Oryzias latipes: one gene and its partner. The protein of the gene in region 1 interacts with the protein of each later gene in a pairwise test. Links are inferred from orthologs where the notes say so. Each region holds a gene or a part of one and is shown in the gene's direction. Other genes may lie near its edges. The genes, in order: ankrd13a and qdpr.

Evidence for each region.
Region 2: the proteins of ankrd13a (region 1) and qdpr interact in a two-hybrid assay, tested with the Homo sapiens proteins (2 studies listed by BioGRID). The two-hybrid records come from large-scale screens. The link is inferred for Oryzias latipes from reciprocal best matches to the Homo sapiens genes ANKRD13A and QDPR.

The regions. Positions count from the first base shown.
Region 1 is NC_019867.2:13,052,079-13,056,568, reverse strand, and holds the start of ankrd13a (ankyrin repeat domain-containing protein 13A), read left to right. Parts: upstream 1-1,526; 5' UTR 1,527-2,138; coding exon 2,139-2,246; intron 2,247-2,706; coding exon 2,707-2,842; intron 2,843-3,625; coding exon 3,626-3,750; intron 3,751-3,840; coding exon 3,841-3,886; intron 3,887-4,118; coding exon 4,119-4,262; intron 4,263-4,359; coding exon 4,360-4,490. UniProt on the Homo sapiens protein: Ubiquitin-binding protein that specifically recognizes and binds 'Lys-63'-linked ubiquitin. Does not bind 'Lys-48'-linked ubiquitin.
Region 2 is NC_019868.2:550,710-554,525, reverse strand, and holds the end of qdpr (dihydropteridine reductase), read left to right. Parts: intron 1-2,453; coding exon 2,454-2,556; 3' UTR 2,557-3,287; downstream 3,288-3,816. UniProt on the Homo sapiens protein: Catalyzes the conversion of quinonoid dihydrobiopterin into tetrahydrobiopterin.

The DNA.
Region 1 (4,490 bases):
TAGCTAATTAAACATAAGTCTGCCACTTACTGCGTTAATTCTTACAGCTCTTTGCTAGCTGTTGGGGTTTGGCTAGCGCTTGTGTGACGACCATGACAACTTAACCACTCAACCCTTACAGTATGAGCTGCTTTGGCTGACACATTGCTGACTAGAAGCCACCTGCCTGGCTAAGTACTCTATTCCTATTTGGTAGTTTACTTCTCAGCCTCCTGTAGGCAGAGCAGCGGCGACAGCAATCATAACCGGGTTTGTTTTGCCCATAATCTTGACTGTCAGGTACAAAAAAAAAACTTTCACAGATCTGGGTAATAAAGCCTAATGGCAAGGCATTGTGCTAAATCATGCAATTACCCATAGTACTCACCATTGCAATATTTTATATTAGCATAAAAATAACACGTAGTTGCAGTGTAGCGGGTTTTAAAGAACTGTACACCAGCGCATGTAAATATTGACCTGGAAGGGAAAATTGCGGGCAAAAATTAAACATAGGTTTGGTGGTAAGTTCAATGACTTGTGGAAGTCGTAAATAGATTAACGCCTATATGTCTATAGTCGGGCTCAAAACTTACATTTTTGCATTAAAATAATAGTTACATAATGGATTGGACCAGTGTGCAGTTACCAAGAATTTGTAGCGGCCTGAGTGGTGGACCCAAAGAGCCTAAAGCATTTTAGAACTAATTTTATTTCTTGATAGCCCGTCAATCAGACAGGAGAGAGACATAGGCAAAGAAGCTAGGGGCGTGTATTGGTAAGAGTCTGGCGATACGATATGTATTGTGATAAATGTCTCACTATACGATATGTGTAACAAATCTCATCTGGAGCCCACTACAAATCACCACAATCTGCGTTTTTATATGGTACTGGCAGCAACGTGGCACAGAGTTTGGGTTCTTTACCCAACCCAAGCAAAAACTAAATAGTAAATGTCTCATAACTACAAAAACTGCGAAGCTGACTGAACATTTAGCATTTAACACAAGCTGATTCTCACAAGATGTTGTTGTTTTGGTGCGGTGTAGAGCTGCTCAAAGATGCTCTGTGTGCTGTGCTACCAACTAGCGGTTGAGGGTTTATGTGGTAAACACGAATCCCACACTGAAGGATGCTCATAAACTAATTAGATAAATATCATACTGACAGCATTTTAAATTGATACAAGTATAGTGATATGTTGCAGAATCAATTTTGCCCTACACCCCTAATAGAAACCAACACTATAGTCACTTAACAAAAATGTAAAGCTAAGAAAGTCAAATATTACGCTAAAGAAACAATCAGAACAAATAATAAAGATGTCTGCTTATAAAAGTAGACACAAAACAGATGAGAATTAAAGTCAAGACAAATTAAACAAATGGGGGTATTGAAAAAATTACTTATAGTTGTTACTCGTTTATAAGTAAACGCTTTCAAATAATTCAAACTTGTTGGTTTATGTAGTTGCTGTAACCACATCACACTGATAGTACGATTAAAGGTTTCTTACTTTCTTAGCAAACACTTGAAAGCACCAGCGTAATGTTGATGTCAGAAACGGAACATTTCTTTTTAAATATCTGCAGGTTTTTACATTGAATTTTAAAAATTATTTCTCATAATAATTACATGCGTTTTTAAAATATTACGGACAATAGTTTTTGTTCGGATACAAATGTTTACCTGGTTAGTACTTTGATGGGTTTTAGAAAACTCCCCCAAGCTTTTTATTAGTAATGGTAGAGTCCAAACTGGAACTGCCATTTATTTCTTTCGTTTTTCCTTAAAAGAAAAACAACAACATTCATTGTAACGGCCTCTGTACTGGATCAACTAATTGGGTGTCAAGTGTAAGTTGGTTTAGATTTCAAAAAGGGTTTTAAATTATTTAAAATTTATTAATAAGGCTTGCCATACTGGCTTTCTGTCCGACACCCCTGTCGTTGCTGAGTCCTTCTTCTGGTACTTCCTTATTCGAAAGTTTTATTTAGGGGAAGGCTCGAGAGGGAAAAGTTAGACTCTTGTTTGGGTATTATTTCAATGTAAAAGCATGTACCGTATGCTTGATACATTTCTAGCGTGACTATAGTGTTGTTTCATGGCTTAAATTATTGGAAGCTACCATCCGTGAAAGGCTCGCCAAGAGGAAGATGTCCACGGCTAACGACGTTAGCGAAGACTTCAGAGTGAAGTTTCCCCTGCATGTCGCAGTGTGGGACAATGATTACAGAAGACTGGAGGAACAAATAAGGCTACAGGTTGGTAAAAACCTACAAACTCACATTCGTTCTTTGATTGTTAGCTGAAGCCGGGAGTTAGCTGTTGAGTGCCTGGAGCAGAAAGTAGGCCAGTGATGTTGACAGATGCTAAACACCAACAATGTTCTATTATCGGTTTTAAGCTAAAGTTAGTCGCTGACGAATCAACAAATGCTTGTTTTTTATTAGTTTCTTTTCTTTTCTTTTTTTTTAATGGTTTACAACGGAAACTCTGTTAACACAACACAGTCGAACCGAATGGTGGTAGCAGTCAATATAATATGGTGCGTTTGAGGACCTGTTATTTGCTAATTTTTGTAAATATTTGTCTAATTAACATTTATTGACAGCTGTAATGATAACGACTGTTCATTTCTGCTCTATAACCATTGCTATAACCGAAACCAGAAGTGCGACTTAGGCATCTGAATTAGACTTCTTGTATTTGTTTTGTTTTTAGAACGACATTGACAACGTTGACCCCAGAGGTCGAACAGCATTACACCTGGCCGTGTCACTGGGACACCTGGAATCAGTGAGAGTCCTCCTGAGACATGGTGCTGCAGTAACTAAAGAAAATGCCAACAACTGGACAGGTTTGCTTTAAAGACCTACTACTCCAATGGAAATTGTGTTTTTGCGTTATTAACATGTTCTTGTAGCATTTCTCACACAATGGAGGACATATATTTAGAAAATTCAGCTTAAAACTGCTTTGCTGAGAATTTTTTTATTCAAATACTTGTGAATCAGAAGCAGATGAAAAAATGACAAATTATCATCTGCAGACCATAAGATCCCTGTTCTGCTCCGTTGTGTTCGATCCACCTGCAGGCAAATAGATTCGTGTACGTCTTCCTTTTCCTCATGCAAGCTCGCATCTGGTTTAAAGCTGTATGGCTGGATAGCTCCAATATTGCTCGCCACTGTAATTGCTCCGCTAATTTTAGGTTGGGGCTGTTGGGTAGCTGGGAAGAGTGTAAACAAAGGTGTGGTGGGAAATCATGCTAACAGTCCCAGCCACAACTCAGAGGCAAATTTCTAATGAACTTCTGCTGCTCTGCAGAACCTGTCTCAGAAAATGACACAGGTTTGTTTTTTGTTCTTTGCTTTGGCTGAAAATGACTAAATCATAATTTAAAAAAAAACACTGGAAACGTTTTAACAATAGTTCAAAAGATGATAGGAGTGGAACTTTAAATCACACATCATCGAAGAAGATGCCTTTCCCACTTGATCATTGGTGTATTTATAGCATTTCACTCCTGATATTTCAGTTCATTATTACTAAAGTTGATTATCTTTTGAATGTGCATGAATAAATCATTATTTCTTTGAAAGGCCTGTTAGTCTGTGCATATATATTTGCTTCTGTATAGTGTTGCAGGAAGCAGTGAGCACTGGAGATCCAGAGATGGTCCAGTTGGTCCTTCAGCGCAGAGACTACCTCAAAGCCTCCACTGCTTTGGGAGGAGTTCCAGAGCTCCTGTCAAAGATTCGAAAGGTTTTCCTCAAAACTTTCTTTGCCTTCATTCTTTCTAACGACACCGTTTGTGTTTTGGTTAATATGAAATTGTTCCATTTTCACCCACAGTCTCCAGACTTCTATATGGAAATGAAGTGGGAATTCACCAGCTGGAGTAAGATGTGTCTTGTTTTGTGATTTTGGAAAATGTGTTTTATAAAGTAAATTCTTTTCCAAAGGGTTTTGTTCAACAATTGTGCATATGGACAGAAAAAAAGTATCTCTAACTAACAGATTATAAAGCAAATTGGCGCAACTGTTTATCTGTTTTTTTTTTTTTGTTGTTTTTCATTTCTGAGTGAAATAGTCTTTTTGTAAGACATTTGTGTCCTGCTGCTGCTTCCCAGTTCCTCTTCTATCACGGGTTTGTCCAAGCGATGTCTGCCGCATATGGAAAAGTGGTGCCTGCCTGCGAGTGGATGCCACTCTTCTTGGCTTTGAAAACATGACATGGATCAGAGGTCGTAGGAGCTACATATTCAGAGGAGATGGTTTGTGTGTTTCTAAATGATGCTCAAAGAGGCCTCTCTTCTTGAGTTCAGCTGTTTTCCAATGGGATCGCGAGTGCATCGCTCTGTCTCCCGGCAGATTCGTGTGCAGAGCTGATGGAGATAAACCACGACGATCAAGTGGTTGATGTTGAACGCTTCAACATATCTCAAGAAATGGAAGACGTGACATTGGAATCGATGCAGCCTCCAGAGCAGGAAGTCGCTAAA
Region 2 (3,816 bases), on another chromosome or scaffold:
TGCTGGCTGTGCATTTGGGATGAAATGAATAACTGATGCTACCACAGTTTATAGTGGCTAGTGAGGTGGCCACTGGGGGGGGCAGGTGTCAGCACTGCCTGTGAGTGGTTCAGAATAAAGTATCTCTTGCACTGCCCCTCACAATAAGCTTCCTCTCTTAGACACAGTAGTTTAGTGACAGTTTCTCCCACCACCTTTCATTCTTGGACTCCAACATTCTGCTATACGTCTATGAAGTGTCTCAGCTGCAAAGGCCTGAAAGACGTTTCTGAAAACAAATTTCTGTTGGAGGGAGCTTCAGCAGAGTTCAACAGGGAGTCCTCAGAATAGTTATGGGCAACAGTTCAAAAAAAAACTTTAAAGACATTTGTTGCTTATTTTCTGTCACTCCTGATGTAAAACAGAAAAGGCAGAAAGTGGAATAAAGTTGTCTGAAGCAGAGAGGCAGCTGCTGTCTTCTGCTCAGTCCTGCAAAGGGCTGACAGAAGTCTTTCATGGGGGTGAGCAGGTGATTGATGGGCTGCATGTGAGGTCATGATGGGGCGTCGTTTGTCCTCAGCCGTTGGAGCCGTGTTGCTCTGCGGATGTTTTCAGTCGCTCCGGCGTGTCTTTCACGTCTTCAGGGCAAAGAGGCATCACTTCAGCTCACAGAAACATGGCTCTGTTCATTCGCTGACAAGAAGATTATTTTCTATTATGTCTACAAAGAAAAATAGTAAGCAGGTAAAAAACAATAAAAAAAAAACTCCTGGCTGTTTAGGCAGAACAAAATTTTGTTCTCTGGAGGAATGACTGTTGATGGATGAGTAATTATAAAACTATTTAAATGTGAATTTAGTGGCGACACTGATCTGAGGTCTCCATCAAACTTCTTGATTTTGTGTTTTCATTATTGGCTCCCTCATTACAACAAACGCTGCAGTGTCACTGCGATGTGATGAATCTAAATACATGTATCATTTTACAACAAAAGAATCACCATTTGATTCTGTAATTCTCTGGTTTCATTTGAAGCTTTTCTCATCAGACAGAAGGATGTAAATAAATCCAATGATGTGATTCTCATCTCAGCTTCTGATTTGAGCACAGGAGATGCAGCTGTGGGTCACAGCTCTAACAACTGCTTTCTTCAGTGTACGGTTTATGTCGCTGGGCAGAAAGGAAGCACTTCATAGTCTAGCTGGGCTAATGTAATTAAGGCAAAGGACATTCACAGGTTTTTACGTGCAAGCAGCACAAAATCTGACGGAAATTCACAGAGATCAGGCATCATACGGGCAGAGATGCACATGCTGCAGATAAAGCCTCTCTTTCTTTAAAAAAAAAGTGTGACCAACAACATTTAGCCTCAGATGCGTGTAAAACACGTGCGAGCGATTCACCAATGTGGATTTTGGCTGCACGTATCACGTATGACCAACATCAATTTCCATTAGTTTTAGTGCTGGTTCCTCTAGAAAATGTATGAATAAAATCATCCATGTTTGAAAACTTTAGAAAAACATTAAAACATATACACATCGATGAACCAAACTAGCATGCTACTTGCTAGCGCTCACTTTAGCACACATTTCACAGCCTGATTTCTCTCTATTTAATCATGATTACTCTCTTGTCACGGTTCCTGTTGATCGGAATATTTTCTTGTCATGATGGTTTTTGTAGTTGATTGCAAAACCATTGCGTCCCCTTTTGTGATTCTTTGCGTGTTTGTCCGGACCTCCTTCGTTCTTCACTTGAGAAGACTGGATGCATCGTACTGGCACATGTATGTCACGTGACGGCCAGTCCAGTAATATGTATCAATGCGCTCATGTCAGCGCGGCTCAGAAGACATGATCTGCTGAGATCATCACTGACCAACGGTTGTTGTTCACAAATGAAGGGAAAAATCTGATTTTCAATCTACCTCACTTTCATTCCTCTGCTTCTTTTCTGGTTTGTTTTTAATAAAACCTCGACTCTGTGAATTTTAATGATGCAAAATCAATTTTTGAGCTTTTGACTGTATTAAAATGTTCAATCCTCACATAAAAACATGTATGTCAAGAAAGTTTGTTTAGTTAACAAGTTTATCACAGATCTGACCCCAAGTCTGTACACAATAATTACAGGTACAGGAAACACGTCCCAACCAACCAAGTTGCAGGAACCGTCAGCTGTAGGAGCAGTGTTCAGAACCAAGCCTTCCACGTTGATTCAGAACCGAGCCACTTTGTTTGATTGACAAAAATAATGACGCCCATAAAAATGGAGCCTCTGAGGAAACCGTTCAAAACTGGTTTTGCATCTCAAACCTCCTTTTAGTTTAGTGAATGGAGGGCATCCATAGAGCCCAGCTCCTGTCATGTGACCATGTGTGAGATTGCTTATCATATGTGGACCTGCCTGCCTGCCTGTGTGTGATGATGTCTGTAGAGCTGCCGTTCTGACAGAATCCTTTGTTTTTGCAGGACGTTCTTCAAGTGGGCTGCAGGTGAGAACAGACCTGCCTCAGGAAGCCTCATGCAGCTTCTGACCTCTGACGGCCAAACCCAGGCCGTGGCTGCTCAGTAGAGAACAGCCGGGGGGGTCTGATAGGCAGGGGATAGATGGAACCAAAGAGGATGGGGTGGAGCAGAGCAGAGCTGGTGAAGAGTGGGAGAGAAGATTGATAAGGATGGGAAGAAGAGGAGAGAGCAGGATGGAGGAAGAGCAGACTCACAGTGCCATCTAGTGACAAATCACTACATCTGTCCAGGTTTAACACAGCCGTCAAACCTCCCAACTGTTCTTCCTGAAGGACCATCAGGAGGTAATGGTCCTGCAGAGCCGCAGACATCTGTGTGCTAAATGAGATGTTTCAGTGTATGTTTGAGGCTGCTGTAGAGCCACAGCAGCTAATAAAGTCGTACTTGTGATGCTTTACCGTGTGTGACGTCATATCAGAGTAATTCTGTCGTGGCAGTGTTATTACAGCAGATTCATGTACTAGAATCAGCAGAGCTTTGCCAGTTCTCCATCCTCTGAAGGGCCTTTCCTACCGGCTTACACAGCTCCAGCATCAGGTGTTGGTTCACTGTCTACACTCTGGAGTTCCTCTGCTCCTGTGGAAACTCCACAGATGAATCCCACCGTCTTCTCTAACACACCAAGTGTTTACAAATGGAGTGGCCTTATTTTCCTTTGCAGCTCTGAAGTGTCCTTCATGCTGTTGGCATGTCTGAAGTGTCCCGGTGATGTTGATTTGTCCTGTAGCGGTCCAACATGTGATGCCTCCAAAATAAAACTACTATTTTAAAAATTCACCTGCTAAATGAAGGAAACGTCTTTATGAGTGTTCATGGATGATAACCTTCCTCTGGTTCTGTGTGCAGAACAGTTACTCATTTCATTTAAATTGGAGGGGAAAGCTAATGTTTCTGATTTTCAAAGATCCACAACAGATTTTTTTATTTAGAAACATTCTTTTCGAAGCTGGAAGTTAAAACCATTTCAATTCAATGGGTAATGTTCAAACAAAACAAAAAAAAAAATCCTTTTTAAATGTCTTCAGTCTGTCTGTTGGCCCATCTTCTAGCCTCCTCATTAGATTCATGTTCCACCCCCGTTCTGCTGGCTTTGAGCAGCAGGGATCAGTCGTTCCCCATCGAAAATGTTAAAAAGCAAAACAAACCTACACCATTGGCCTGTAGGAACAAAAATGTTACAAGCTCTCCAGGAGCAAGTTATGAAGTGTTATTGTGGATCTGCTCGTCCTGGCCACATCTTCAGTGACTGGCAGGCTTCAGTGTATCAGAGGTTACAGTCACACATGAAATGATACAAGTTTGTGGT